Linked DNA regions of Xenopus tropicalis. The protein of the gene in region 1 interacts with the protein of each later gene in a pairwise test. Links are inferred from orthologs where the notes say so. Each region holds a gene or a part of one and is shown on either strand. Other genes may lie near its edges. The genes, in order: smarce1, trim54, meox2, ralbp1, ccdc172, cep63 and mtus2.

The links.
Region 2: the proteins of smarce1 (region 1) and trim54 interact in binary tests that used the Homo sapiens proteins (3 or more experiments, as listed by UniProt). The two-hybrid records come from large-scale screens. The link is inferred for Xenopus tropicalis from reciprocal best matches to the Homo sapiens genes SMARCE1 and TRIM54.
Region 3: the proteins of smarce1 (region 1) and meox2 interact in binary tests that used the Homo sapiens proteins (3 or more experiments, as listed by UniProt). The two-hybrid records come from large-scale screens. The link is inferred for Xenopus tropicalis from reciprocal best matches to the Homo sapiens genes SMARCE1 and MEOX2.
Region 4: the proteins of smarce1 (region 1) and ralbp1 interact in binary tests that used the Homo sapiens proteins (3 or more experiments, as listed by UniProt). The two-hybrid records come from large-scale screens. The link is inferred for Xenopus tropicalis from reciprocal best matches to the Homo sapiens genes SMARCE1 and RALBP1.
Region 5: the proteins of smarce1 (region 1) and ccdc172 interact in binary tests that used the Homo sapiens proteins (3 or more experiments, as listed by UniProt). The two-hybrid records come from large-scale screens. The link is inferred for Xenopus tropicalis from reciprocal best matches to the Homo sapiens genes SMARCE1 and CCDC172.
Region 6: the proteins of smarce1 (region 1) and cep63 interact in binary tests that used the Homo sapiens proteins (3 or more experiments, as listed by UniProt). The two-hybrid records come from large-scale screens. The link is inferred for Xenopus tropicalis from reciprocal best matches to the Homo sapiens genes SMARCE1 and CEP63.
Region 7: the proteins of smarce1 (region 1) and mtus2 interact in binary tests that used the Homo sapiens proteins (3 or more experiments, as listed by UniProt). The two-hybrid records come from large-scale screens. The link is inferred for Xenopus tropicalis from reciprocal best matches to the Homo sapiens genes SMARCE1 and MTUS2.

Annotation. Positions count from the first base shown.
Region 1 is NC_030686.2:8,351,395-8,354,894, forward strand, and holds part of smarce1 (SWI/SNF-related matrix-associated actin-dependent regulator of chromatin subfamily E member 1), read left to right. Parts: intron 1-1,124; coding exon 1,125-1,296; intron 1,297-3,500. UniProt on the Homo sapiens protein: Involved in transcriptional activation and repression of select genes by chromatin remodeling (alteration of DNA-nucleosome topology).
Region 2 is NC_030681.2:162,394,851-162,398,350, forward strand, and holds part of trim54 (tripartite motif-containing protein 54), read right to left. Parts: intron 1,494-3,500; coding exon 1,321-1,493; intron 1-1,320. UniProt on the Homo sapiens protein: May bind and stabilize microtubules during myotubes formation.
Region 3 is NC_030682.2:36,891,089-36,895,057, reverse strand, and holds the start of meox2 (homeobox protein MOX-2), read left to right. Parts: upstream 1-1,169; 5' UTR 1,170-1,319; coding exon 1,320-1,824; intron 1,825-3,969. UniProt on the Homo sapiens protein: Mesodermal transcription factor that plays a key role in somitogenesis and somitogenesis and limb muscle differentiation. Required during limb development for normal appendicular muscle formation and for the normal regulation of myogenic genes.
Region 4 is NC_030682.2:104,596,814-104,600,313, forward strand, and holds part of ralbp1 (ralA-binding protein 1), read left to right. Parts: intron 1-2,607; coding exon 2,608-2,769; intron 2,770-3,500. UniProt on the Homo sapiens protein: Multifunctional protein that functions as a downstream effector of RALA and RALB. As a GTPase-activating protein/GAP can inactivate CDC42 and RAC1 by stimulating their GTPase activity.
Region 5 is NC_030683.2:4,841,080-4,845,049, forward strand, and holds the start of ccdc172 (coiled-coil domain-containing protein 172), read left to right. Parts: upstream 1-1,170; 5' UTR 1,171-1,275; coding exon 1,276-1,354; intron 1,355-3,970.
Region 6 is NC_030681.2:130,322,197-130,326,325, reverse strand, and holds the start of cep63 (centrosomal protein of 63 kDa), read right to left. Parts: upstream 2,801-4,129; 5' UTR 2,518-2,800; intron 408-2,517; 5' UTR 375-407; coding exon 331-374; intron 49-330; coding exon 1-48. UniProt on the Homo sapiens protein: Required for normal spindle assembly.
Region 7 is NC_030678.2:154,663,722-154,667,221, forward strand, and holds part of mtus2 (microtubule-associated tumor suppressor candidate 2), read right to left. Parts: intron 2,266-3,500; 5' UTR 2,090-2,265; coding exon 8-2,089; intron 1-7. UniProt on the Homo sapiens protein: Binds microtubules. Together with MAPRE1 may target the microtubule depolymerase KIF2C to the plus-end of microtubules. May regulate the dynamics of microtubules at their growing distal tip.

The DNA.
Region 1 (3,500 bases):
GCCCGGCTTCAAAGGAAAAGTAACACAGCTTTCATTTGATATTATCGGTGCATGTGTGCCCGGCTTCAAAGGAAAAGTAACACAGCTTTCATTTGATATTATCGGTGCATGTGTGGCCGGCTTCAAAGGAAAAGTAACACAGCTTTCATTTGATATTATCGTGCATGTGTGGCCGGCTTCAAAGGAAAAGTAACACAGCTTTCATTTGATATTATCGTGCATGTGTGGCCGGCTTCAAAGGAAAAGTAACACAGCTTTCATTTGATATTATCGTGCATGTGTGGCCGGCTTCAAAGGAAAAGTAACACAGCTTTCATTTGATATTATCGTGCATGTGTGGCCGGCTTCAAAGGAAAAGTAACACAGCTTTCATTTGATATTATCGTGCATGTGTGGCCGGCTTCAAAGGAAAAGTAACACAGCTTTCATTTGATATTATCGGTGCATGTGTGCCCGGCTTCAAAGGAAAAGTAACACTAACATTTTTTAAGTGAAAAGGCTATTCTACCCTGCACCAATAACTGCCCTATCCTGCAAACCCCTTAGTATTTGGAATGCTTTAAAAGAAAATACCTGCTAAAGCTTGGCTTCCTGTCAATTGAACTAAGGAGATACGGTGAAGGAAGGAGCAGCATCCACTATGCGACGATCGATTGATCGAGTCTAGCCTGACTCCTTCCTATACAGAAAGAAGGCTAGGCTGGATCAATCAATCGTCGCATAGTTGATGCTGCTCCTTCCTTCACCGTATCTCCTTAGTTCAATTGACAGGAAGCCAAGTTTTAACAGGTATTTTCTTTTAAAGCATTCCAAATACTAAGGGGTTTGCAGGATAGGGGCAGTTATTGGTGCACAATTGGGATAGGGGTTAAATCCCCTTTAAATCTATGGTGTACATGCAAACACACCCATTCAGGCTCAGGTCTGTCTAATAGAAAGTAAAGTAAAGATATTTTCCCTGAAAATCATGCACTGTGGTGTATAGAGGGGGTGAAGGAATAGAGCATTTCATTGCCATTTGAAAGTATTGATTTGCAGTCAGGCAGGAAAATGCTGATATAATCACTATATATTCGGTGCTTATCATTTCTTTATTTTTTTTTTTGTTTTTATCCCCTCTTTAGATTGAGTACAACGAATCAATGAAGACTTACCACAACTCTCCTGCTTATCTTGCCTACATCAATGCCAAAAGCCGGGCTGAAGCTGCCCTCGAGGAGGAAAGCCGCCAGAGGCAGTCGCGCATGGACAAGGGGGAGCCGTACATGAGCATCCAGCCGGCCGAGGATCCGGACGGTTAGTGACCTTGTCTATCTATAAAGCTTGTGTACCAAATCTACCTGTAGGATATCAGACGGCCTGACATCTAACAGGGAGGCAAAGACTCAAAAATAGGTGTCTTTTATAGTGGCTAAACTATCATGGATGTGATAGGGGTTTTTCCCTCTTTATTAAAAGAGGTTTGTTCTAAGCGGAACACAACACAGAAACCCCTAATATCCCTATCCCTGTAATCTGTTCCTTCAAACAGTAGGAATAAATACCATTTTTATATGCTGAAATCCAGCTGCAAAACTGTTCTTCTCTTTCTGCATCATTTGTAATCCTGGCAGGGGAGGAGGGACTAAAACACTGATGTTACAGATTGTAACAACTTCCCCACAGCTTACAGACAGCATGCAGGAACTACATAACCCACAATGCATTGCACTGGGATGTTCCTTTCTTTATTGACATCACGTGTGCAGCAGGGAATTGTGGGATTGGGAGGAGGCAGGCTGAGGAACAGGTGCTACTGTTACAGTTTATTTGAGTCACAAAGTAGTCAGCCAGATCAGCAGGGGAACAGGGGGCGGGGCTTAGGGAACAGGGGGCGGGGCTTAGGGAACTGCTCCAAACCAGATTATTACATTAAACATCAAGAAAAGGCTGCATATTTTATAATGTTTATTGCAAAGTTGCTTGAAATTATATTTACTTTTCAAAAAGTTGTGTTTGGGTGGAGTTTCCCTTTAACAAACTCGCAGCCAAAATGTCAGCAATTTAACAAGAATCTTAAGTATAGTTTGTAAGTACATTAATATAGTTATGACTGGCTAATACCGTGTTACAGCTCCCTCTTGTGCCCAACAGAAGAACTCTCAGTAGCTGCTCAGGAATGTTGGGCTTTCAGCACATCCCAATTATATTGCTGTTTCTGATCTGTAGGAATAAAGCAAGAGCTTAAAGGGGAAGGAAAGAGAAGTAAAATCACAATTACTAGGGGCCGCCACAAGTGAGACACCCCCCAGTGATTGTATTCACTTACCTAATACCCTGGTCTGGGGCTCCTATTAACAGAAAACTGCCCTGGCACGTGTGGTTTTCTGCTAACGGGCACTGGCCTGGGGTATCTGGGTGGGTTGGGGGGCGCTAACTTTTGTCGCCCCCAGCAGTTGTGACTTTAAATAGGTAATTTCATTTCATTTTCAGTTCAGAAGCTCTCCAGTTTGGAGTTTCAGCAGCTATTTGGTTGCTAGGGTCCAAGTTACCTTAGCAACCAGGGATTGCTTTGGATGAGAGACTGATATATATGATTAGGAGAGGGACTGATTAGAAAAGAAAGTTAAAAATCACAATAAAACTGTAGCCTCACAGAGCATTGTTTTTTTTTTTTTTTGTTTTTTTTTTCACGGATTGGGTCAGCAACCCCCATTTAAAGAGCTGGAAGAAGGCGGCAAACAATTGAAAAACTATAACAAATAAATAATGGAGACTTATGGCTTCACGTAGGGCAGTTTCAGCTCTTTGGTGCATTATAAGCACAGCCAGAAATTGCTCTCTGATTGCCTGAAAGCAGTTCCTGCAGTCACAAAGTCCCTGTCAGATGTCTCTTGATTTTCCAGCCCTTTAAAATATATTGGATAAAGTAACTAAATTTATTCACTGTTAATTTGCTTCGAAGTGTAGCCATTTTTTCTAAAGTTAGTTTAGGAAGGGAGTGCAGGTTTGGGATCCATTATCCAGAAAGCTGTAAATTACGGGAAGTCCGTCTCCCATAGACTCCATATTAACCAAATAAAGGAAATTAATTAAAAAAAAAAAAAAATGGAATTTTCTCTGTAATAATAAAACAGTACCTGTACTTGATCCCAACTAAGATATAATTACCCCTTATTGGGGCAGAACAGTCCTATTGGGTTTATTTCATGGTTAAATGATTCCCTTTTCTCTGTAATAATAAAACAGTACCTGTACTTGATCCCAACTAAGATATAATTACCCCTTATTGGGGCAGAAGAGCCCTATTGGGTTTATTTCATGGTTAAATGATTCCCTTTTCTCTGTAATAATAAAACAGTACCTGTACTTGATCCCAACTAAGATATAATTACCCCTTATTGGGGGCAGAACAGCCCTATTGGGTTTATTTCATGGTTAAATTATTTTTTTTAAAAGATTTAAGTTATGGAGTTCCAAATTACCGAAAGATCCTTTATCTGCAAAACCCCAAATCCTGA
Region 2 (3,500 bases), on another chromosome or scaffold:
TCAGGGTGACTGGGGGGCTCTCCCTGTCTATCCTTGGCTTGAGCCTTCCCTCGGGGTGTTGCCCCGCTCCTCAGGGTGACTGGGGGGGGGCTCTCCCTGTCTATCCTTGGCTTGAGCCTTCCTCGGGGGTGTTGCTCTGCTCCTCAGGGTGACTGGGGGGCTCTCCCTGTCTATCCTTGGCTTGAGCCTTCCCTCGGGGTGTTGCCCCGCTCCTCAGGGTGACTGGGGGGGGGCTCTCCCTGTCTATCCTTGGCTTGAGCCTTCCCTCGGGGTGTTGCTCTGCTCCTCAGGGTGACTGGGGGGGCTCTCCCTGTCTATCCTTGGTTGAGCCTTCCCTCGGGGGTGTTGCCCCGCTCCTCAGGGTGACTGGGGGGGCTCTCCCTGTCTATCCTTGGCTGAGCCTTCCCTCGGGGGTGTTGCCCCGCTCCTCAGGGTGACTGGGGGGGCTCTCCTGTCTATCCTTGGCTTGAGCCTTCCCTCGGGTGTTGCCCCGCTCCTCAGGGTGACTGGGGGGGCTCTCCCTGTCTATCCTTGGCTTGAGCCTTCCCTCGGGGTGTTGCCGCCACTCCTCAGGGTGACTGGGGGGGCTCTCCCTGTCTATCCTTGGCTTGAGCCTTCCCTCGGGGGTGTTGCCCCGCTCCTCAGGGTGACTGGGGGGGCTCTCCCTGTCTATCCTTGCTTGAGCCTTCCCTCGGGGGTGTTGCCCTCGCTCCTCAGGGTGACTGGGGGGCTCTCCCTGTCTATCCTTGGCTTGAGCCTTCCCCTTGGGGTGTTGCCCCGCCTCCTCAGGGTGACTGGGGGGGCTCTCCCTGTCTATCCTTGGCTTGAGCCTTCCCTCGGGGTGTTGCCCCGCTCCTCAGGGTGACTGGGGGGGCTCTCCCTGTCTATCCTTGGCTTGAGCCTTCCCTCGGGGTGTTGCCCCGCTCCTCAGGGTGACTGGGGGGGGGGCTTTCCCTGTCTATCCTTGGCTTGAGCCTTCCCTCGGGGGTGTTGCCTCACAAGGAGTAGTATCTACCTGTAACTATCTACCTGTAGGTACCTGGCCTTCCCGAAACACTTTGACTCGACAGGTTTGTTGTGTTTAACTCTTCTCCATCTGATTTTGGATAGGATAGAGGGAGACACAGGAAGAGGAGGAGCTTCGCAAGATCATTGAGGGGTTGTCCAGCCTCCAGAGAGGAGCTTAACTAGACTGACAGTATGGGCTTACGCAGAAGGGATTTACCAGGTAAGCCAATCTCCTTCTTACACAGTAAATGCCCCTTTCCTATGTACGTTATGCACCAATAAATGCCCCTGTCCCAATCCCACAGAACTTACCTGCTCGATTCCTGTTTGTAAATGTCAATGATATTTTCCACCAGTAGGTTCCTCTGTAGCCCGTACACCCCGTGTCTGTCCAGCACCACCTCATGGCGGCATGAAGGGCAGCGAAATCGCCCCCCTGAGGAGACAGTGCTGGATCCTCGTGACTGCCACAGAGGATTGGAGGCCTGGGGGCAGAAGGACACCAATTAGATTTTGCCCCCCTATATACAGAATAACATGCAGCACTTTACCACCAATGCTACATACAGAGGCCTTCTCCTGGGTTAATACATTAAAACCACTTCCAGACAAGAACCAACACCCAGTGCCAATTCTACCCTCAAATACACAGGGGCTTCAACAATAGTCCTACCTTGTTGTAGAGTTGTCACCCCTGCCGGATCAGAAAGCCTGGCAGGGGTGATGTCATGGGGGTGGAGATGAGGCGGGGCCTCGACAGCACGGCCATGCCATCATGGGGGCTATGACTCCTACTGAGTCTCCTACATATTGTTCCTCCTCCTACTGACTCTTCTCCATGTTGTTCCTCCTCCTACTGACTCTTCTCCATGTTGTTCCTCCTCCTACTGACTCTTCTCCATCTTGTTCCTCCTCCTACAGAGTCTCCTACATCTTGTTCCTCCCCCTACTGACTCTTCTCTATGTTGTTCCTCCTCCTACAGAGTCTCCTACATCTTGTTCCTCCCCCTACTGACTCTTCTCTATGTTGTTCCTCCTCCTACAGAGTCTCCTACATCTTGTTCCTCCCCCTACTGACTCTTCTCCATCTTGTTCCTCCTCCTACAGAGTCTCCTACATCTTGTTCCTCCCCCTACTGACTCTTCTCTATGTTGTTCCTCCTCCTACAGAGTCTCCTACATCTTGTTCCTCCCCCTACTGACTCTTCTCTATGTTGTTCCTCCTTACGGAGTCTCCTACATCTTGTTCCTCCCCCTACTGACTCTTCTCTATGTTGTTCCTCCTTACGGAGTCTCCTACATCTTGTTCCTCCCCCTACTGACTCTTCTCCATGTTGTTCCTCCTCCTACTGACTCTTCCCCATCTTGTTCCTCCTCCTTACGGAGTCTCCTACATCTTGTTCCTCCCCCTACTGACTATTCTCTATGTTGTTCCTCCTCCTACTGCGTCTCCTACATCTTGTTCCTCCCCCTACTGACTCTTCTCTATGTTGTTCCTCCTTACGGAGTCTCCTACATCTTGTTCCTCCCCCTACTGACTCTTCTCCATGTTGTTCCTCCTCCTACTGACTCTTCCCCATCTTGTTCCTCCTCCTTACGGAGTCTCCTACATCTTGTTCCTCCCCCTACTGACTATTCTCTATGTTGTTCCTCCTCCTTACGGAGTCTCCTACATCTTGTTCCTCCCCCTACTGACTATTCTCTATGTTGTTCCTCCTCCTACTGAGTCTCCTACATCTTGTTCCTCCCCCTACTGACTCTTCTCCATGTTGTTCCTCCTCCTTACGGAGTCTCCTACATCTTGTTCCTCCCCCTACTGACTATTCTCTATGTTGTTCCTCCTCCTACTGAGTCTCCTACATCTTGTTCCTCCCCCTACTGACTCTTTCCATGTTGTTCCTCCTCCTTACGGAGTCTCCTACATCTTGTTCCTCCCCCTACTGACTCTTCTCCATGTTGTTCCTCCTCCTTACGGAGTCTCCTACATCTTGTTCCTCCCCCTACTGACTCTTCTCCATGTTGTTCCTCCTCCTTACGGAGTCTCCTACATCTTGTTCCTCCCCCTACTGACTCTTCTCTATGTTGCTCTTCCTCCTACTGAGTCTCCTACATCTTGTTCCTCCCCCTACTGACTATTCTCTATGTTGTTCCTCCTCCTACTGAGTCTCCTACATCTTGTTCCTCCTCCTACTGACTCTTCTCTATGTTGTTCCTCCTCCTATGGAGTCTCCTACATCTTGTTCCTCCCCCTACTGACTATTCTCTATGTTGTTCCTCCTCCTACTGAGTCTCCTACATCTTGTTCCTCCTCCTACTGACTCTTCTCTATGTTGTTCCTCCTCCTTACGGAGTCTCCTACATCTTGTTCCTCCCCCTACTGACTATTCTCTATGTTGTTCCTCCTCCTACTGAGTCTCCTACATCTTGTTCCTCCCCCTACTGACTCTTTCCATGTTGTTCCTCCTCCTTACGGAGTCTCCTACATCTTGTTCC
Region 3 (3,969 bases), on another chromosome or scaffold:
ACAGAATGCTCTGAATGATGAGAAGGCCACCTCTCATAGACTGCACTTTAAGCAAATAATTCTAATTTTTAAAAGTGATTTATTCATTCTCTGTAATAATCAAACAGTGCCTTGTACTTGATGGTACCTAAGCTGTGTGAATCCATATTGGAAGCAAAACAATCCTTTTGGATTTATTTGACATTTAAATGATTTTTAGCAGGCTTGAGGTGTGGAGATTCAAATTACAGAAAGATCCCTTATCTGGAAAACCTCAAATCCCAAGCATTTTAGATAAAAGATTCTATGCTGGTACAACAAACTAGGCTTCTGTGCCATAGGTGAAGGGGTTAATGAGTATTTATGCTGATGAATAGAACAATATTGTGTTACTGTGCAGTAAGCAGTACCTGGAGCAGATTTTAGGGACAAACATCTGAAAAACACAGGTGTGACTTTTAGTTGGGAAAACACACATGTTTCCTATTTACTAAGAGGATGTTACATCTTCCTATTTCTGAAAACAATTTGAGGAGAACATTACTCAGGTTCTGCGTTACTCTCGCCAAAAGAGAACAATGTATACTGCTTACTTCCCGCTGTATAAAACTGCACATATATGTCCTATGTTGGTAAAAAGTTATAACCTAGTGCAGCTGGCAGGGGATTCTGGGAGTTATAGATTCAGTAACAGTAGGTTAATGGTGCCTTAGTTAAAGCTATTTATATTGTATCACATTCACTACACAGAACACTAAAAAAGAAATAAAATGGCATGTATTGCTTGGCATGGCACAATACTTTCCAATTGATTTCTTACGGTAGAATGAGCTTTTTGTCATTGTGTCAGTATATGAATTACTAAGACCTGCGTGCAGTTTCTCTATATCCATATTAGCAATGGGCAGAACCGGTTTAAGTTGTACATAGACAGTGCAGTGATGCTGTCGCAACTTGGAAGGATCTGTGAGTGCTAAAGTTTTGGAGAGAGTTTGTGGTCAGTACTGTGTTGCTAAGCCAGCCCCCAGCTCACATTACACACTATTTATATCCTCTCTTAGCTGTTCCCCCATTAAAGCAGCTCCTTGGGACCACCTTCTGTTGGCTTTAACCTCTCCTACTCTTGACATCTGAGCAGCTCTGCAAAAGCTCATCTTGGTCAGAGCAAACTGTTTAAGCACAGGAGACTGGCCACCAGGCTGAAGACCTGGATTATCTGATCTGTACTGAAAGTGTGCCGTTACTGTTTGGGAAAAATATCATTTTACAGTGAAAAGTGACAGCGTTGTGGAGTTTAATCCTGCCAGAATCTCAAGCCTGCAACTTGAAACTTGTATGCCATGGAACACACACTGTTTGGCTGCCTGCGCAGCCCCCATGCCACCTCTCAGGGCTTACACCCCTTTGCCCAGTCTTCTCTTGCCCTCCATGGAAGATCCGACCACATGTCCTATCCTGATTTATCCTCTTCTTCGTCCTCTTGCATATTAACTGGCTATCCCAATGAGGAGGGCATGTTTGGGAGCCAGCATCACAGAGGACATCATCACCATCATCACCATCATCATCATCACCAGCAACAACAGCACCAGACCTTGCAATCAAATTGGCACATTCCTCAGATGTCATCTCCTCCTGCCTCCACCAGACATAGCCTTTGCCTTCAGCAGGAATCTGGACCTCCAGATCTAAGTGGCAGCCCCTCTATTTTGTGTTCAAACACATCCAGCCTGGGCACTAACAGCTCAACGGGTGCAGCTTGTGTGACAGGGGACTATGGCAGACAGACCCTCTCCCCGGCAGAAGCAGAAAAGAGGACTGGCAAAAGAAAAAGTGACAGTTCAGGTAAGGATATTTGTGTTTACAATGTCTGAGCATGCAGCAAAAAGGAAATATATATTAGCTGGTAATTGTGATGCCTTGTATTGGATTAGCACTGCATTGCAGAAAGTGGCACAGCAGTGGTGCAAACCTAAGCAACTGTATGCCTAGGATATGCCATTAGCATCCATGCATACGGCAGCTTCTTCTGACAGTTCAAATTGAGCAGAGAGGGGTTTTTCTGTTGCTCAAAGCTTTGTGTTCGTACTCACTGGCAAATGCATTTAGCAGTGTAAAAAGTACTAGTTAGACACTTGCTAACTAGCATGTATACAATATTTCAGACATGTGCAGCTTGCTAACACTATAGGAATGTTATAAACGCTATGCAAGACATATTATAAGTAAAAAGTTTCTATTTAAACAGGAAATACTTGTATATTACATTACAATACGAACGGGCAGAAATAGTTCCCTCTTTTCAAGTCTTTCCTGGTGTATTCCTATGTAACAATCCTGTCAGTGTCAAAAGAATATCAAATTCCTTTAATAAGCAAGATTGAATCCAAGTATCATTTTTTCATTTGAAATTACAATCTATTTATTGACACAATCCTTCAGAAACCCGTGCTGCACTCCATCCTTATTCAGCCTGATCCAGTATCACTGCAGTATTATAACAAGAAATGGAGATCACTTGTTGACTCCTGTTTCTCTCAGCAGCCAAACTATTACAAATGCAATTTTATGGCAGATAAAAAGACAATTGGCACATTTAGACTGCCCATTCCCCCTTCCTGCAGGAATAAAATAGAGAGATTTCATCCCAGGGAGGGCAGCCTTTTTTGCCCGTCCCAGCAACTGCAGAAAGGTGTTAATTATATTATCAGCTAACACCTCCTCTGGGAAAGCCATATACACAGTCTGCATCAAATTAAGAGTTTAATTAACAAAGTGCAAAGTGATGGGTAATATTTGCTTTAATTCAGTCACATAAGCCACTTCAGTGAAATCAGTTCTTTTGAGCCTATTACATCACTTTCACTGATCAGAATCTCTGGCAGACCATAATAATATATACATTTTTAATCCGCTGCATATCAATAGTGATATGAATAACTACCAATCAATATCTAGAACTGAAAAAGTCAAATGATTCATAACAGACACCTTCCGTCATACCTGAAATACCCCAAACAGACATGAACACTAAAATCCTCTTTTCCATTTCCATTTAAAATGGCAAATTCTAGTAAAAGAAATACAATATACGTGATACTTGCATATCAGTAGCATAAGAAATGAACATAGTATATCACACTGAATATAAACATAACTGAAATATGTATTATATGTTCCAGTTCATTGGTGATTTCGATGCTTATCATATATATATTTATATATATAAAGTGGAGTAGCTTTATCCTGCTATTAGATGATGGCGAGAGATAAGTGCAACTATATTAACTCACTAATCAGACAAGTGGTCAGTGGAATAAGTGAAAGCGAAGTCATAATTGGAGATGACCTGCTTACCATTCCTAATTAAGTCTTATGAGATATTCTGATTGGGATGAATGGTTATTCAATAATTATAAGACATGAATGACAAATGAGTAATTCGTGACATATGTTTGACCTTATTTTTTCTTCCAGGCTTGGGGCTTTAAACAAGACAACTTTTCAAAAGTTATTATTCCAGTGTTTAATTAGTCTGTCTAGGCTTGCAATGCTTTTAAACCTCTCCCCCCCCTTCTGTTTTGTCTGTTTAGGGAAGATAACATTGGCAAGCGTTTAAAGAAAATAAATTACCAGGAAATCTATACCTAATCACAGAGCAAAAATGACAAACTAGCTTCATTAACCACGGTGTATCCAATAACTGGGTCCTGGCGAATTTGAGAAACTGCTGTTCTTTCTTTTAGAGTCACTTCACAAACAATTGTTTTAAGGGCATTTGGTTTCTGGAGAAATGAAAGGATGGCTTTGTGAAACAGTATACCTATCCAAATTATACAATCTAGAGTCAAAGTTAATGGCCCGGACCGTGTCCTATCCATTATATGTGCATATTTCGACATAGAAAAATCTAAACTATGGGCGTCTAGGGGTTGCTGAACTGCAATCATCAGCCTTTAGCCTTAGGCTGTGACGAGAATGCTGTAGTTT
Region 4 (3,500 bases), on another chromosome or scaffold:
CCAGTTACATTGTTTTAATGTTGCTAGTCATGATTTTTCTTTACATGCCCTGGACAGTAAGGGGTATATTTATCATGCCATGTAAAACGTGGAGTGAAGCATTACTGGTGATGTTGCCCAGGGCAACCAATCAGCAATTAGATTTCAACAGTTAGAAAATCAAAGCAAAGCATCTGATTGGCTGCTATGAGCAACATCACTGGTAATGTTTCACTCCACTTTTTAGGGCTCTGGCACACGGGGAGATTAGTCGCCCGCGGCAAAACTCCCTGTTCGCGGGCGACTAATCTCCCCGAGTTGCCTTCCCCTGCCATCCCACCGGCGAACATGTAAGTCGCCGGCGGGATGGCAGACGCGGCGGGGCGATTTCGGGAAATCGCCGAAAAAGACTCGCGAGTCTTTTTCGGCGATTTGCGCTAAATCGCGCCGCCGCGTCTGCCATCCCACCGGTGACTTACATGTTTGCCGGTGGGATGGCAGGGGAAGGCAACTGTGCCAGGTGACATCATTAAGCGTCAGTAATAATGGTTTGATATATAAGAGCCTTGAATATCTTAAAAAAAAAAAACAGGGCTAACTTATTTCATTAGGGGGGTTAAAAGTCACCTTGGAGTTTCACAACATGTATAAAAGCACTCAGACTTATATATATAGTGAAAGGTAATCCTTCCTGTAAACAGTGCTTTACTATTTAACCCTTTGTGTCACTCGATATAGACTACAGTGCCAGCATAAAAGTACCATTATCCCAGTGCCATAGATTTTACAGATCCAGGTTTCTCTTTGATCTGTGCCACGCCACGTGTATCTTTTCAAGGTGCTTCTTGGCAAGAGCAAAGAGAAGCCACCCTAACTTATAATGCACCTGGTATTTCTCTTTGCTGCTGGTTTCACACATTTCTGGTGCTTCTGAAGGCAAAATAACTGTAGAATTCACTTGCTTTGGGTTGCTATGATTCATACATCAAGATGCTCAGCTTTAAATGGGTAAAATATAGTCCAAATTACATGCCATAGCCCATTTTTTTCTGCTTTGAAATTTGCAGACTGACAGTCTGGTTACAGATTCCTTTTTCTTTAATTGTGTCAGACGCCCAAAACTCGCCCATGCTAACAAAAATAGTTTCTTGCAAACGGTTGCAGTTTTTTCCTGGTTTATGTCTTAGTATTTAATGAATTATGTCCACTTTTAACAACTGTATCCTAATGCACACCCTCTAGTCTATCATTTAGGCTTTGCTCAGATACATGGGAAATGAGTGTATGAAACCAGTGCATGTTCATACAGATGCAGAAGCCTCACTATCTGTGTGACTTATAACCGGTACACCCACATACACACACCGCTGGTGCTAATTAACTGTGCATTTAGATATGTGAAATCCTAATATGTCCCTCTTTTTCATGGTTCATGTAGGCAACACGTATGGTTAATTAGTACTAATATGGTAATAAGTACTAACAATGATTAGTAAGGTTACCAGATCATTTGAAATATCAGGGCCCTTCTGATAAATGCAGGTTTCTGGGCCTCAGATTGAATTTATTACCATGAACAGATAAAGGTTTTCCGGATAAAGGGTTTTTCTGCAATTTGCATCTCCATACGTTTAAGGGCTCTGGCACATGGGGAGATAAGTCGCCCGCGACAAATCTCCCTTGTCACGGGCGACTAATCTCCCCGAACTACCATCCCACCGGTGAAAATGTAAGTCACAGGTGAGATGGCACCCGCTGCGCAGGCGATTTCTGCAAATCGGTGAAGTTGCCTCGCGAGGCATTTTCGTCGATTTGCCGAAATCACCTGCGCAGCGTGTGCCATCCCACCGGCGACTTACATTTTCGCCGGTGGGATGGCAATCCGGGGAAAAGTTTTTTGTAGATTTAGGGCTCTGGCACACAGGGAGATTAGTCGCCCGCGACAAATCTCCCTGTTCACCGGCGACTAATCTCCCCGTGTGCCAGGGCACTAAATCTACAAAAAACTTTTAAACAATAAATGAACCCAGAAGGATTGTTTCCATCTGATAAGGGTACAAGGTACTGTTTTATTACTACAGAGAAAAAGAAAATCAATTTTTAAAAATTGAATTATTTGATTAAAATAGAGCCTATGGGAGATGGCCTTCTCGTAATTCAAAGCTTTCTGGATAATGGGTTTCCTGATGAGGAGTCCCATACCTAAGTAAATGCAAGACCTGTGCCGTATTGTGCATTGGAAAATGTGTAGCAGAAAGACTTCTTTGAGTGTAAATGCAATTTGTGTGCAAATTAGAAATGACATGCAGCGTAAGTAATCTGTATATCGGTGCTGGGGAGTAATCTGTTAATCATGCAGTGGAATATTATGGATTATTTAACATTCACAAGTGTCACTATTGCTCGCTCACCCCTATCACTCACATCAGCTATTTTAGGCACAGGAAAGTCTCACTGCAGTAGATATATTTCTAGTCTAATTTTTGCTAATTAATATGGGATTGCTAAATACGTATGCGCTGTTAGTAGGTTCTTACCAGGTCTGTGACAATAAAGCCTATAACCTTATTTTACCGCATTTATTTTAATCCTTTCTTTTCAGTTTTACAATCTGTTTCTCCTCCTCAGATTAGTAACCGTGTCCTGTATGTGTTTTTTACACACGTCCAAGAGCTCTTTGGCGGAATCCAGATAAAGCGAGTGATTAAGCCTTTGCGCTGGTCTAACATGGCAACCATGCCGACATTGCCTGAAACACAGGAAACAATCAAGGAGGAAATTCGGCGGCAGGTTTGTCTTCATGGTTTTAGTAATTATGCCATTATCATTAGTTATACAGACACAACAAGTACTTTCCTTCTTTATTTAGAGGCGTATAACTCTTGTATTTTACACATTATGCCTCCTTCAAAATTTACAAATATTGTCCTAATTTTCGATTGTAAGTTCTAAGGCAGCATAGTTTTGTTTTCACACTTACAACTTTCCTCTTCCTCCCCATGTTAGGAGTTTATTTAACTACAGGCAATACACTCTATAAAGGAGCCATGTCTTTCCCCAGTTGTTTGAGACAGGCTTACAGATAAGGAGGAGTTGATTACTTTCTACCCCACCTATTGCTCTGAAGAAGCAGAAGGTTGAACATGGCAATGCATTGCCCCTTTAAATGTTTATATATCACGTGGTGTGCTACATCACAAAGGGCTTAGGTCACCTATTTCCCTTTTCAAGGGATCAGAACCCCACTAATTTAGTGCTTTGTATAGCTCACCTTATCTCTCTTAATCAGTGTAATGGGCAACACTGATAAAAATATTATAATTCTCTATATATTCCAGAGACCAGTGCTATAATGCTTGCTTGGATTTATCAGACATTAGTTTAGCCTCTTTTGTACATGGGACTAAATTTTTAATTGCCTCTATAAAAGCATTTTTGGTGTCACATTGTCCAGCTGATGGTGTTATAAATAAAAGCAGCCTTGATGTTTGTGTAATATTACCCACATTCATTTCTGTCAC
Region 5 (3,970 bases), on another chromosome or scaffold:
TCAAGCCACTTTTGAACCAGAAACAGCGGCAGAAGCGCCTGACCTGGGCTACAGAGAAGCAGCACTGGACTGTTGCTCAGTGGTCCAAAGTATGTCATTCGGAAATCAAGGTGCCAGAGTCTGGAGGAAGACTGGGGAGAGGGAAATGCCAAAATGCCTGAAGTCCAGTGTCAAGTACCCACAGTCAGTGATGGTCTGGGGTGCCATGTCAGCTGCTGGTGTTGGTCCACTGTGTTTTATCAAGGGCAGGGTCAATGCAGCTAGCTATCAGGAGATTTTGGAGCACTTCATGCTTCCATCTGCTGAAAAGCTTTATGGAGATGAAGATTTCATTTTTCAGCATGACCTGGCACCTGCTCACAGTGCCAAAACCACTGGTAAATGGTTTACTGACCATGGTATTACTGTGCTCAATTGGCCTGCCAACTCTCCTGACCTGAACCCCATAGAGAATCTGTGGGATATTGTGAAGAGAAAGTTGAGAGACACAAGACCCAACACTCTGGATGAGCTTAAGGCCGCTATTGAAGCATCCTGGGCCTCCATAACACCTGAGCAGTGCCACAGGCTGATTGCCTCCATGCCACGCCACATTGAAGCAGTCATTTCTGCAAAAGGATTCCCGACCAAGTATTGAGTGCATAACTGAACATAATTATTTGAAGGTTGACTTTTTTTGTATTAAAAACACTTTTCTTTTATTGGGCGGATGAAATATGCTAATTTTTTGAGATAGGAATTTTGGGTTTTCATGAGCTGTATGCCACAATCATCAATATTAAAACAAGAAAAGGCTTGAACTACTTCAGTTGTGTGTAATGAATCTGAAATATATAAAAGTCTAATGTTTATCAGTACATTACAGAAAATAATGAACTTTATCACAATATGCTAATTTTTTGAAAAGGACCTGTATATACACACTATACATACCCCATATATGTCAATATTAAAGTTATTTCCCAGCCCCCTCAAGAAACAAACAGTTGCATTCTCCCATTCCTGACTGAGGAGTGAATATCTATTATATATTTATTCACTGGGAGAACAAACTTTTGATTCTTTTGTGAAAGTATTCATGCTATATCAATAAATATATATATATATATATATGCAGTTTCCCTGCAGTTTTGTTGTTTCCTGTGTGTTGCCCTGGCAACGAGGCCTAGCTAAGCCAGTGGGAGGGCCCAGGCCTGAATCCTGTCAGACATTTTGTTGCAGTGAAGAGGAACATTAGTCTATAAGGAGAGGCAGGAGATATAGGGAGACATCACAATGAGTCTGGATTCCCTGCTCCAGTACATTTTGCTGACAGAACAGCAGGCCTCTGAGATGAACCGACACCTACGAGAGGGTGAATATTACCTCTGATATTACAATATCCACCCCTATAAAGTATAACTGTTATCAAGCCATGCAAGGTAAATATATACTATTATCCCCCACATGTAATAAAAGCCACCAAGTTTGCCCAGGAGCAGTAACCCATAGCAACCAATAAAACAGGTGACCAGTAATTTCTTCTTGCTGTTTGGTTGCTATGGGTTATTGCTCCTGGGCAACTTAGCACCTTTTATTACATAACCCCCATGTCTGGTTTAAAGGGGAAGTGGTGGTAATTCTGTTGTAATAGTGGGTAATGTTGCCACCTGTCTGGTATTTTATCAGCCTGGCCTGTAAACATTAACCAACGCCAAAAGGGCAAACGTTTCAAACTATAGGAGGGCTGGTGTATTTCCACCTTTTAAATTCATGTTCAGCAATTTCCAGTAATTCATAAGTCTCTGTGTATAGCTGTAATGAGTCCGTGCATTGGTGGTGCTACATTTGGTACAGGTATGGGATCCCTTATCTGGAAATCCATTATCCATAAGGTTCCGAATTATGGAAAAGCCATCTTCTAAAGGCCAATTCTAATTTTTAAAAATGATTTCCTTTTTCTCTGTAATAATAAAACAGTACCTGTACTTGATCCCAACTAAGATATAATTACCCCTTATTGGGGGCAGAACAGCCCTATTGGGTTTATTTAATGGTTAAATGATTCCCTTTTCTCTGTAATAATAAAACAGTACCTGTACTTGATCCCAACTAAGATATAATTGCCCCTTATTGGGGCAGAACAGCCCTATTGGGTTTATTTAATGGTTAAATGATTCCCTTTTCTTTGTAATAATAAAACAGTACCTGTACTTGATCCCAACTAAGATATAATTACCCCTTATTGGGGCAGAACAGCCCTATTGGGTTTATTTAATGGTTAAATGATTCCCTTTTCTCTGTAATAATAAAACAGTACCTGTACTTGATCCCAACTAAGATATAATTACCCCTTATTGGGGGCAGAACAGCCCTATTGGGTTTATTCAATATTTAAATTATTTTTAGCAGACTTAAGTTATGGAGATCCAAATAACGGAAAGATCCCTTATCCAGAAAACCCCAGGTCCCAAACATTCTGGATAACAGGTCCTGTACCTGTACTTCAGCTGCTTATTAAACCAGCTGAGACCTCCATAAGCGTCACAAAGATTGCACGGTGCAAAGTTAGTTATTATGTGTAGATACATGCCCAACATGGCTGCCTAACATCAACTGTTTTATCCCGGGCCTTCGGGTGGGGCAATCAATGAGGGCACTTGGGGTGCAGTGATGACGATAATAGGGTGGGGAAATGGACAGATTGGGCAGGGGAAATGGGCTGTGGTGGGGAAATGGGTGGGCAGTTAATATTTGTGTATTATGTTTAAAGTTAAAGGAAAAAGAAAGCCAAAGTCACTTGGGGGTGCCAAAATGTTAGGCACCCCCAAGTGACTTTGACCACCTACCTTTTACCCCGGGCTGGTGCCCCTGTGAGGAGGGAACAGCACCAGCCCGGGGTAGCTGCCGGCGCTTCCTTCCTTCTGTTTCGCTGCGCGCGCATGCGCAGTAGAGTGAAAAGCCGAACTTAAACATTAAAGTCGGCTTTTCACTCTACTGCGCATGCGCCCACCGCTGGCATTCCGGAAAAGGAAGCCAGAACACGGAAACGATCCGCTCCAGGTGCCCCGGGCTGGTGCTGTTTTCTCCCAACAGGGGCACCAGCCCGGGGTACGAGGTAAGCGGTTAAAGTCACTTGGGGGTGCCTAACATTTTGGCACCCCCAAGTGACTTTACCTTTCGTTTCCCTTTAATGGTTTATATGAATATACATCGTTATACTGCCACCTAGGACCAAGGTCATATTGCAAGTTGTTTACTTCTAAGTCTGTAGACCCTCCCATCCCCTTCCTTATATGTGATGTCAGTTCCTCCCATCATGCCATTTATGTTCCTGCTTTCCATGTGTGAGGAGCTACTCCAGGGGTTGGGAAAGCAATATTCCTTTTGACCTCCGGCATTTGTTTATCCAATCCAACGTTTGTTCACCCACAACAAATAAAGAACCTTTGTGGATTCCAAGTGCCTGGTGAGTTCTGCTATCTGGCACATATTGCCCACAGTGGCTGTGCCCAGCTCCATACAGGCCCAGGGAGAGGGGTCTCAGGGGAAACTCAGAATAGGGTGGAGCAGGGAAATGGGCGGAGTGGGGTTGGGCATGTTCTTATAAGGGTAGTGGAGCCGTTGAGAAAAGAGAGGGATTTATAAAATATTAAAAATTTACCAGCAGGGGGTCAATAAAGACATGGGGTGGGGAAATGGGCAGATGGCGTGGGGAAATGGGTGGGTGGAGCAGGGAAATGGGTGGAGTGGGGTTGGGCCTGTTCTTATAAGGGTAATCGGGCAGTGGAGCCGTTGAGAAAAGAGAGGGATTTATAAAATATTACAAATTTACCGGCAGGGCGGGTGATGAGGCCATGGGGTGGGGAAAGGGGCAGATGGGGTGAGGAAATGGGCGGAGTGGGGTTGGGCCTGTTCTTATAAAGGTAATGGGGCAGTGGAGCCAGTGGGGTAAGAAAGGGATTTATAGAATATTACAAATTTACCGGCA
Region 6 (4,129 bases), on another chromosome or scaffold:
TGCCTCATGAGTTCCTGCAGCTCAGCCTCACAGGAGCCTTGCAAAGACCTAATGAAGATGAACACAGAGTTATAAAAAAAGCAGCAGATGTAAATAAATATGTTTATATATTGGTTTTCAGACTCACCCCTTACAGTCATACATTTAATTGACCAGTCCTCCTTAATTTTAAAGCAAGGTATAGATAAATACAAATGTTATTATATCAGTAATAATAACAGTATTAGAATTATTACTGACTTCTAATAAATGTTCACCTCAAATCTAAAACATGCTGGGCGATTAACAGAATTGATCCCACTGTCCAAACCTGTAACTTAGGTTACTCACCCCATTCTCTCTTGTTGCTGAATCCCTTGTAACAAAGCTTCCATTCCGTTTATTTAACAGCCTGCAAATGGCTATTACTAGAAAACACAGAGAGGGCACAGAAAATATTTTAGCAAGAAAAATAGTACCACTGGTGCTACATATACTGTTAGGGCATAGACACATGGGGGAATAGTCGCCATGGCTATTAAAAAAGTAAGCTGTGGCAATTAATCGCGCAATGGGCAGCGTATAAGTAGCTGCGACTAATCACAGGCAGATTATTTGCTGTGACTTTTTTCAAAAGTTGTGGCAACTAATTGCAACATCTTCCCCCTTAAGAACTATAGAAGCACAGCCTTGAGATATACAGTCTTTGCGAGTGCGCAAACACTAGACCATCCAAGAATCATGTAACACATCTCATTTTATTGGAACTTGATTAAAACCTGCTTGACGCATCTCGTGTCTTGCCCTTAGTGATAAGCATAAAACCATTCCATCTGTATATCTGGGTGTGTGATCATTCGGCACTTTTCCCTTAAGATATACAATTGGAATGGTTTTATGGTTATGACTAAGTACAGGACACAAAACGCATCAAGCTTGTTTTAATCAAGTTCCAATAAAATGAGAAGTTTTACCCGATTCTTGGATGGTCGGTGGTCGAGTGTTTGCACACTCACAAATATTGGATGCCAGAACATAGTGCTTTTATACCGCCATTGTGCTGAAAATTTTCAGCACTATTGTAGTATAAAAGCACAATTATTATTTATGATGCATGGAGTGCTGGTCCTTTATCTTCTATAAAGCTTTGATTGTGCACCTTCAGTTGGCAAGAGTATTGTGTGCAGACTTTATCTGAGAAAATATATAATATATATATATCAATCCAAATAGCACTCCAAATAGCACTCCAAGGCTCAATATTCTGCGGGGTGCACAGCCAAAATTTAACTACACAGAAAATAATAATCATCCGTGGCCGGCACACCCTTCAATACTTTATCAAAAATTTATTGAAAACATATTGTTTAAAACAGACGTTTCAGTCCTCATTAGGACCTTTCTCAAGGATCCTTGAGAAAGGTCCTAATGAGGACCGAAACGTCGGTTTTAAACAATATGTTTTCAATAAATTTTTGATAAAGTATTGAAGGGTGTGCCGGTCACGGATGATTATTATTTTATATATATATATATATATATATATATATATATATATATATATACGGATTGGAGATTTCAAAGCGACAGGCTGCTTTCATTATCTCTTAAAGTCGAGAGTCTTATTTCGATTGAGTTAGGCCTAATACATCTTTTAGGCAAAAGGAACACCCCCCAAAGGATGTTTTAGAATTCACTCTCTCACAATCACCAGAAATCCTGTCCCTTTATGTGCAGGCTATGTGCCAAAATCAGTTTTGTTACATTTTGTTTGTGCTAGAATCAATTATTTAAGTGAGCTGTGACACATTTGCTAGGAATGGGAGCCCGCACCCCAAAGACATAGTAGATTTATCAATCAAAATCAGACTCCTGACACCTGCATGAGGACAGAATGAAGAGACGAGGGGGGGAGTGAAGAGTCACTTGATTATTTCAGAAAAGCTCCAAAATCTTTAATTGAATATATTTAAGAAATGTCCTATTTGGCATGATGTAGCTTGTACATATGTTGTGCACGATGGCTTGTTTGCACAAGATACAGGATTGGGCACCATATCACACAAATTTCACACCATAACTTTACATTCTGTCGACTTTAAAAGGAATGTGATAATGCATTTTTTGTAAAAATATTCTGTCCACAAGTTACAGTCTGTGCTGGGGGGATCAGCGCTGTGAGTGATACATGGGCGCTCAGGGAATGATCCTGTACTTGCCATCTCCCTAAGCCCCAACTCGCCCAGCCCCATTCCCAGACTGGTGTCCTTTCCTTTCCATTCCTTTGTGTTTGCAGGACATGTAGCCCCAAAACCCTGAAACTCCTTCAGAAAAGATGTTTAAAGGGGAACTATTGCGATAATGAAAGTTTAATATCCCACTGCTCATTTAACAACTTTGGAATCATTTCTCCCCAGTGCTGGAAGCCAATGGAACATAAACAAACGTCCAGTTTCCATTATTTTGACGGCACTAGGCTGACAAAATCAACTATATATGAATTCACCGACGCCCATTGATAGCAAAAAGAAGCCGCACTTGAAAATAGAGGCATCAAATAAGTCTTTTCCTCGTCCCATAGTCAGTCAGTAGAGGGACCGGGTATGGCGGTGAGACCGGCACAGTAACAGGAAGAGCAGACGACCTTACCTCCCCAGCAAGGCAGCCTAGACGAGAAAAAGCGGGGAGGTTAAGGGCTAACTCCCAAATGACACTGTAGGGAACATACAGTCATGTGATCCCCATTGCGCGCTAAAGTCCCCGATCCTAAGGGTGAGCGCTTCCGGGTACACAGATCGCTGCAGTTACTGATTGGTTGGAAGCAGAGGGCGGGCTGTTTCAAACAAACCTACGGTAGCCGTACTGGGACATTCGTAACCAGAGGCATTGTCCTGGAAGTTACAGCGTGAACAGTCTCCTAATCTGCCTCTGCTTAGTGGACGAGCGTTGTGTTTGGGGCAGCAGTTTCCAGACTTTAGAGAGCCCCGCCAAAGGTTGAATTTGGGGGAGAACATGTAGTTGTAAATATAGATATCATGGGAACTTGGGCCGGTACCCTATATAAGTTACCCTGAAACGTGACCAGAGAAAGTCCCTGCTGTGCCCAGTGCACTCGAGGGTTTATTTTCTCACGATTTTTATAGATTTTTCAAGCGTCTGTATAAGGATGTTTTAACCAAGAGTGTAGGTGGGCCAGTGATATCCATGCTAGGTGCAGCCCCACTGCATTCTATTCACTTGTATAGGGATTCTTAGGGACATATACTGTATATATATCAGTGGAAGTGAGGGGTCACTCTGATAAATTCCAAAACTATCCCATACACTTGTGTAAGAGCTGCGTAGTTTCACTGTGGCACAATGTGAGCCCTAGTTCTTTATGAAATATTCCTCTCAGTGCAAAGTTATTCCAGACAGGACTTACTGAGCCTAAATCAGCAGAATATCCCAGTGCATCAGCCTGTTTTTCTTACCCACAATGCCAAGTCCTTCCTACAATTCCAGCCTAATAGCAGGTGCCACAACCTGGCTGAGGTAACAATGCGGACACCCAGGGCCACCATCAGAAATCACGGGGCCCCTCACAACAAAAATTTCTGGGCCCCCCTCCCACCAGTACAAAGGACTCACAGACATGGTACATTGGTAGCCAGCAGTGCCCCCCCCTAGTACATTGGTAGCCAGCAGTGCCCCTCTAGTACATTGGTAGCCAGCTGTGCCCCCCCAGTACATTGGTAGCCAGCTGTGCCCCCCCAGTACATTGGTAGCCAGCTGTGCCCCCCCAGTACATTGGTAGCCAGCAGTGCCCCCCCAGTACATTGGTAGCCAGCAGTGCCCCTCTAGTACATTGGTAGTCAGCTGTGCCCCCCCAGTACATTGGTAGCCAGCTGTGCCCCCCCAGTACATTGGTAGCCAACAGTGCCCCCTCAGTACATTGATAGCCAGCAGTGCCCCCCCTAGTACATTGGTTGCCAGCAGGGCCCCCCTAATGCATTGGTAGCCAGCAGTGCCCCCCAGTACATTGGTAGCCTGCAGTGCCCCCCCCAGTACATTGGTAGCCAGCAGTGCCCCCCCAGTACATTGGTAGCCAGCAGTGCCCCCCCTAGTACATTGGTTGCCAGCAGGGCCCCCCTAATGCATTGGTAGCCAG
Region 7 (3,500 bases), on another chromosome or scaffold:
CACTTACCTCGTCTATTGATTTTTCATTAATCTGTCCAAAATGATGTCCAGGAGGCCTTATTCCAGACACCATTAAACCAGCGGCATATATTCTTTGTTTCTGCAGGTCTGCTTTATATTTATCTAGTAGGACATTGGAAGCATTAATGTCACTGCCTAAGACCTCATGGTCTCTTGCCATTGGAACATTGCAAGCAGGGGAACCAAAAGGCATGCCTACTGGACCATATGGAAGTCTGTCTATTGTCTGAGGGTTTCTTCTAATGTAGGTAATAATCTTAGGTCGGACATGCTTGGGTTTAGGGATGATTAGAATTGGTTCAGGTGCTTCTTCTGGCTTTTCATTGTCATTGGTGTCCGTATCAGCTTTACTTGCAAGGCAAGGCTTGGAATGTATTAGTATTGGTTTTGGAATTCCACTACTACAAAGCAATTTGTTAGTGGCTTTAGGGGAAATGTTTAAGACTTGTGTACCATCAAAAGGTGGCAGAACTGAGGAAGGTGACAATCTGTCAACATGAACAGCATTAAGATCCACAGAGCTGCTCGGTGAGGCAATGCACTGATCATTAATATTTACTGCAGTCACGAGGCCTGGTAAAATGGGAGCACATGAAAAGGTATCAGTTAGATCCTTCTGGCTGTCTTTCATGCTGCCTTTTAAACCATCTGACTGATGTTTTCTCCCGACAATTGCCTTTTTGCTCTCAACTAAAGCCGTTTTATCCTTTGTGGAAGCCATGTTGCTGCTTAAAACAAAATTATTGTCACTGTCCTGGCAAAGAAAACTTTCAAGTGAACCTCTGTCTTTATGTAGAAGTGGTTTATTATCCAGGGAATCGCTGAGTGATGTTGTTTTTCGTATAAGAGGCTTGGTGCTTAGCTCTCTCCCCATATCAGATGCATATTCATCCGGCTTCTTATGTGCTAGACTAAAATGAGATAATTTAGGGCTGCTACCGAAACTCTTGTCTTCATGGTTTATGACTTTGTAACATTGGGACATATCTACATGACCCAACGGAGCATAAAGATTTGAAACTGGAGATGTTCTGGATTCGGAAATATTGCCTGCTGTCTTGGTACCTGAAATTGCAGTCATCGTACTCTGGTCTTGTTTGTGCCGACAAATTCTTTTAGACTGTAATAAGTTGGAATCTGAAATTTCTGAAGTTTTTTGTGTTTGACCCTGATATAATTGTGCTTCTGTTATATTAAAAATTACCTGAGGTTTAGAAGGGATTCTTAAATGATGGTCAGTGCTTGTGGGACTGGTATGTAGTGTGCTTGGCTTATTACCACTTGATAAGGCTCCCTCGCCTAGTGATAATTCAGGGACATCTGAGGTAGGTGACCTGGAACAAAGTACAATCTTTTTTTCCTCTGAGCCGCAACTGTGTGTATGGGAAGAGAATCCAAATAAATGGTCAACTGGTATTGATGAATTAGTTGCCCTAATCCCGTGATTTGGCATCTGTAAATACTTGGGTGGGGAGATCAAACATGGCGTTGGTGAAATACGACCTTTAGCAAAAGTTTCTGATTTTGTCGATACCATACCTGATTTCAGAAAGGAAATTCCTTTAACCTGTTCATTGTGTGATAGGTTACCAGTGTTATTACTACACATAATGAGGGAAGAGTCACTAACTCTGCTCTGAGGATACACCAAACTTCTGTCAAGCACACCCGCCTTTGAATGTCCATCAGCCTTTGAATGTCCATCAAAAGCTCCAGTTGTTTTTAAACTGCCTTTAGCATCATCAGTCACAAAATGTTTGTTAATGTCTCTTTCTATCAGGGATGGTGACTTTGGATCACTCAACGGCTGATCACCAGATGGAGAATCCTGACCAGAGGTGAGCGATGTACTGTGCTCCTCACATGACTGGGAAAGATCTGACTGTGATGTGGACAACCCCCCTGGTTTTTTAATGCTGCTTGAGACCTGAGTTTTCCCTGTTGGGTATATTTGGTTGGCATTGTTATCACCTAAGCTGATCACATTTTTGTTGTCAACTTGATCTTGGTTGCTGTTAATGGAATTTCCAGTTGAACATTCCTTGCTTGAAACCATAGGTGTGCTCATTTTGGAATAGCAGTTTCATAAGTACCACAGATTGAAATTGTGTCACCTCTAGACAGTTGTATTAGTATGTAACTTATTAAATTGCCGTCATATTTCAACATTAGTGCCAACTCAATTTCTGTCCACGTTGACTTATGGCTTTGTTGGCCTCAGTGCAACATGTTGCATGTGTGAGCCTGTAAAAGAGAAGAATATTTATGTAAGTGTACAGATTCTCCATAAGTATATAAAAGACTAACCAACATGTAATACAAGGTACTAAGCAATAAGATATTTGTTTTCAAACAGGTGACTAGTCAATGCTACTTGCTGATTGGTTGCTATGAGTTACTGCCCCTGGCACCATTTATTACATAATTCCATAAGGGAAACAGATGTGTTTTAAAAGTTTTTGCCATAGTACAAAGGGTAACAAACATTTCAAAGCATATTCTCATGATTTTATGTTGGAATCTCATTAAACAACATCTCTTATAGAATGGACTTGATTCCCAGAGCAAGTTCACCTACTTATTTGCCTCCTACCCCACTTTCTACCAACAATTCCATTCCCTCTTGTTGCCACCAAAATTTTTCTCCTGCTCCTTCAACCTTCAAACTGGAATGTATTTTCTATATCAGCACCCGAGGGTTCATGTCTAGGGTAACAGCTTTAGGGGAGTAACCCTGGATGTGGATTAAGGGGGACAAAGCTGTTTAAATTAAAAAAATCCTCTCATCTGAGGGGGGTGCCCTACTCTTTAAAGTTTTTGACATTTGGCACAGACTTCACATGACTGAATCCGCATAGGGCTGCATCCAACCCAAATACATTGCTGATCCAACTTTGAAGGATTTTCTTTTCACTGTGATATGCTAAATATAAACCCTACTGAAAGAAGTCACTGACTAGTTCTATGACCAGGTCATGGAACTCAGAGTTGCCTTCCAGCACCCATATACCTGTATCGTAAAGAACAGGTATATAGAAATGTTATTTCTTAAATAAATCACATATTAATGAGCCATATAACCCATGCCATGTCATTAAGAACCAATCCAGTTGCAATTCAGTAAAGCTTCTTTACCTAACAAAATAAATAACTGAAGATTTACTCTCTTGGGAGAGCTGTGGTGGATAGCAATGTAAAATATCCTTGAACTTGATACATATACAGGTGGATCCATGGCTATTCTGTTGCGTTACCTAATATTTATGAAAATTCTAAATGCTTTATATGGACTTACCCTACACTAAATACCAAAGGGAGGTTCAGTTCTGTTAGGAAAAACATCAGTTTACTTTCTTCACTGCAGACTCATAACTCTTTAGAAAAGTGACATAGTGGCATGTTATTGCATCAATATTACTATTTAGAAGGTGTCATAACTGTCCTAGGGAATACAACAAACCTAATAAATAGTAATAATT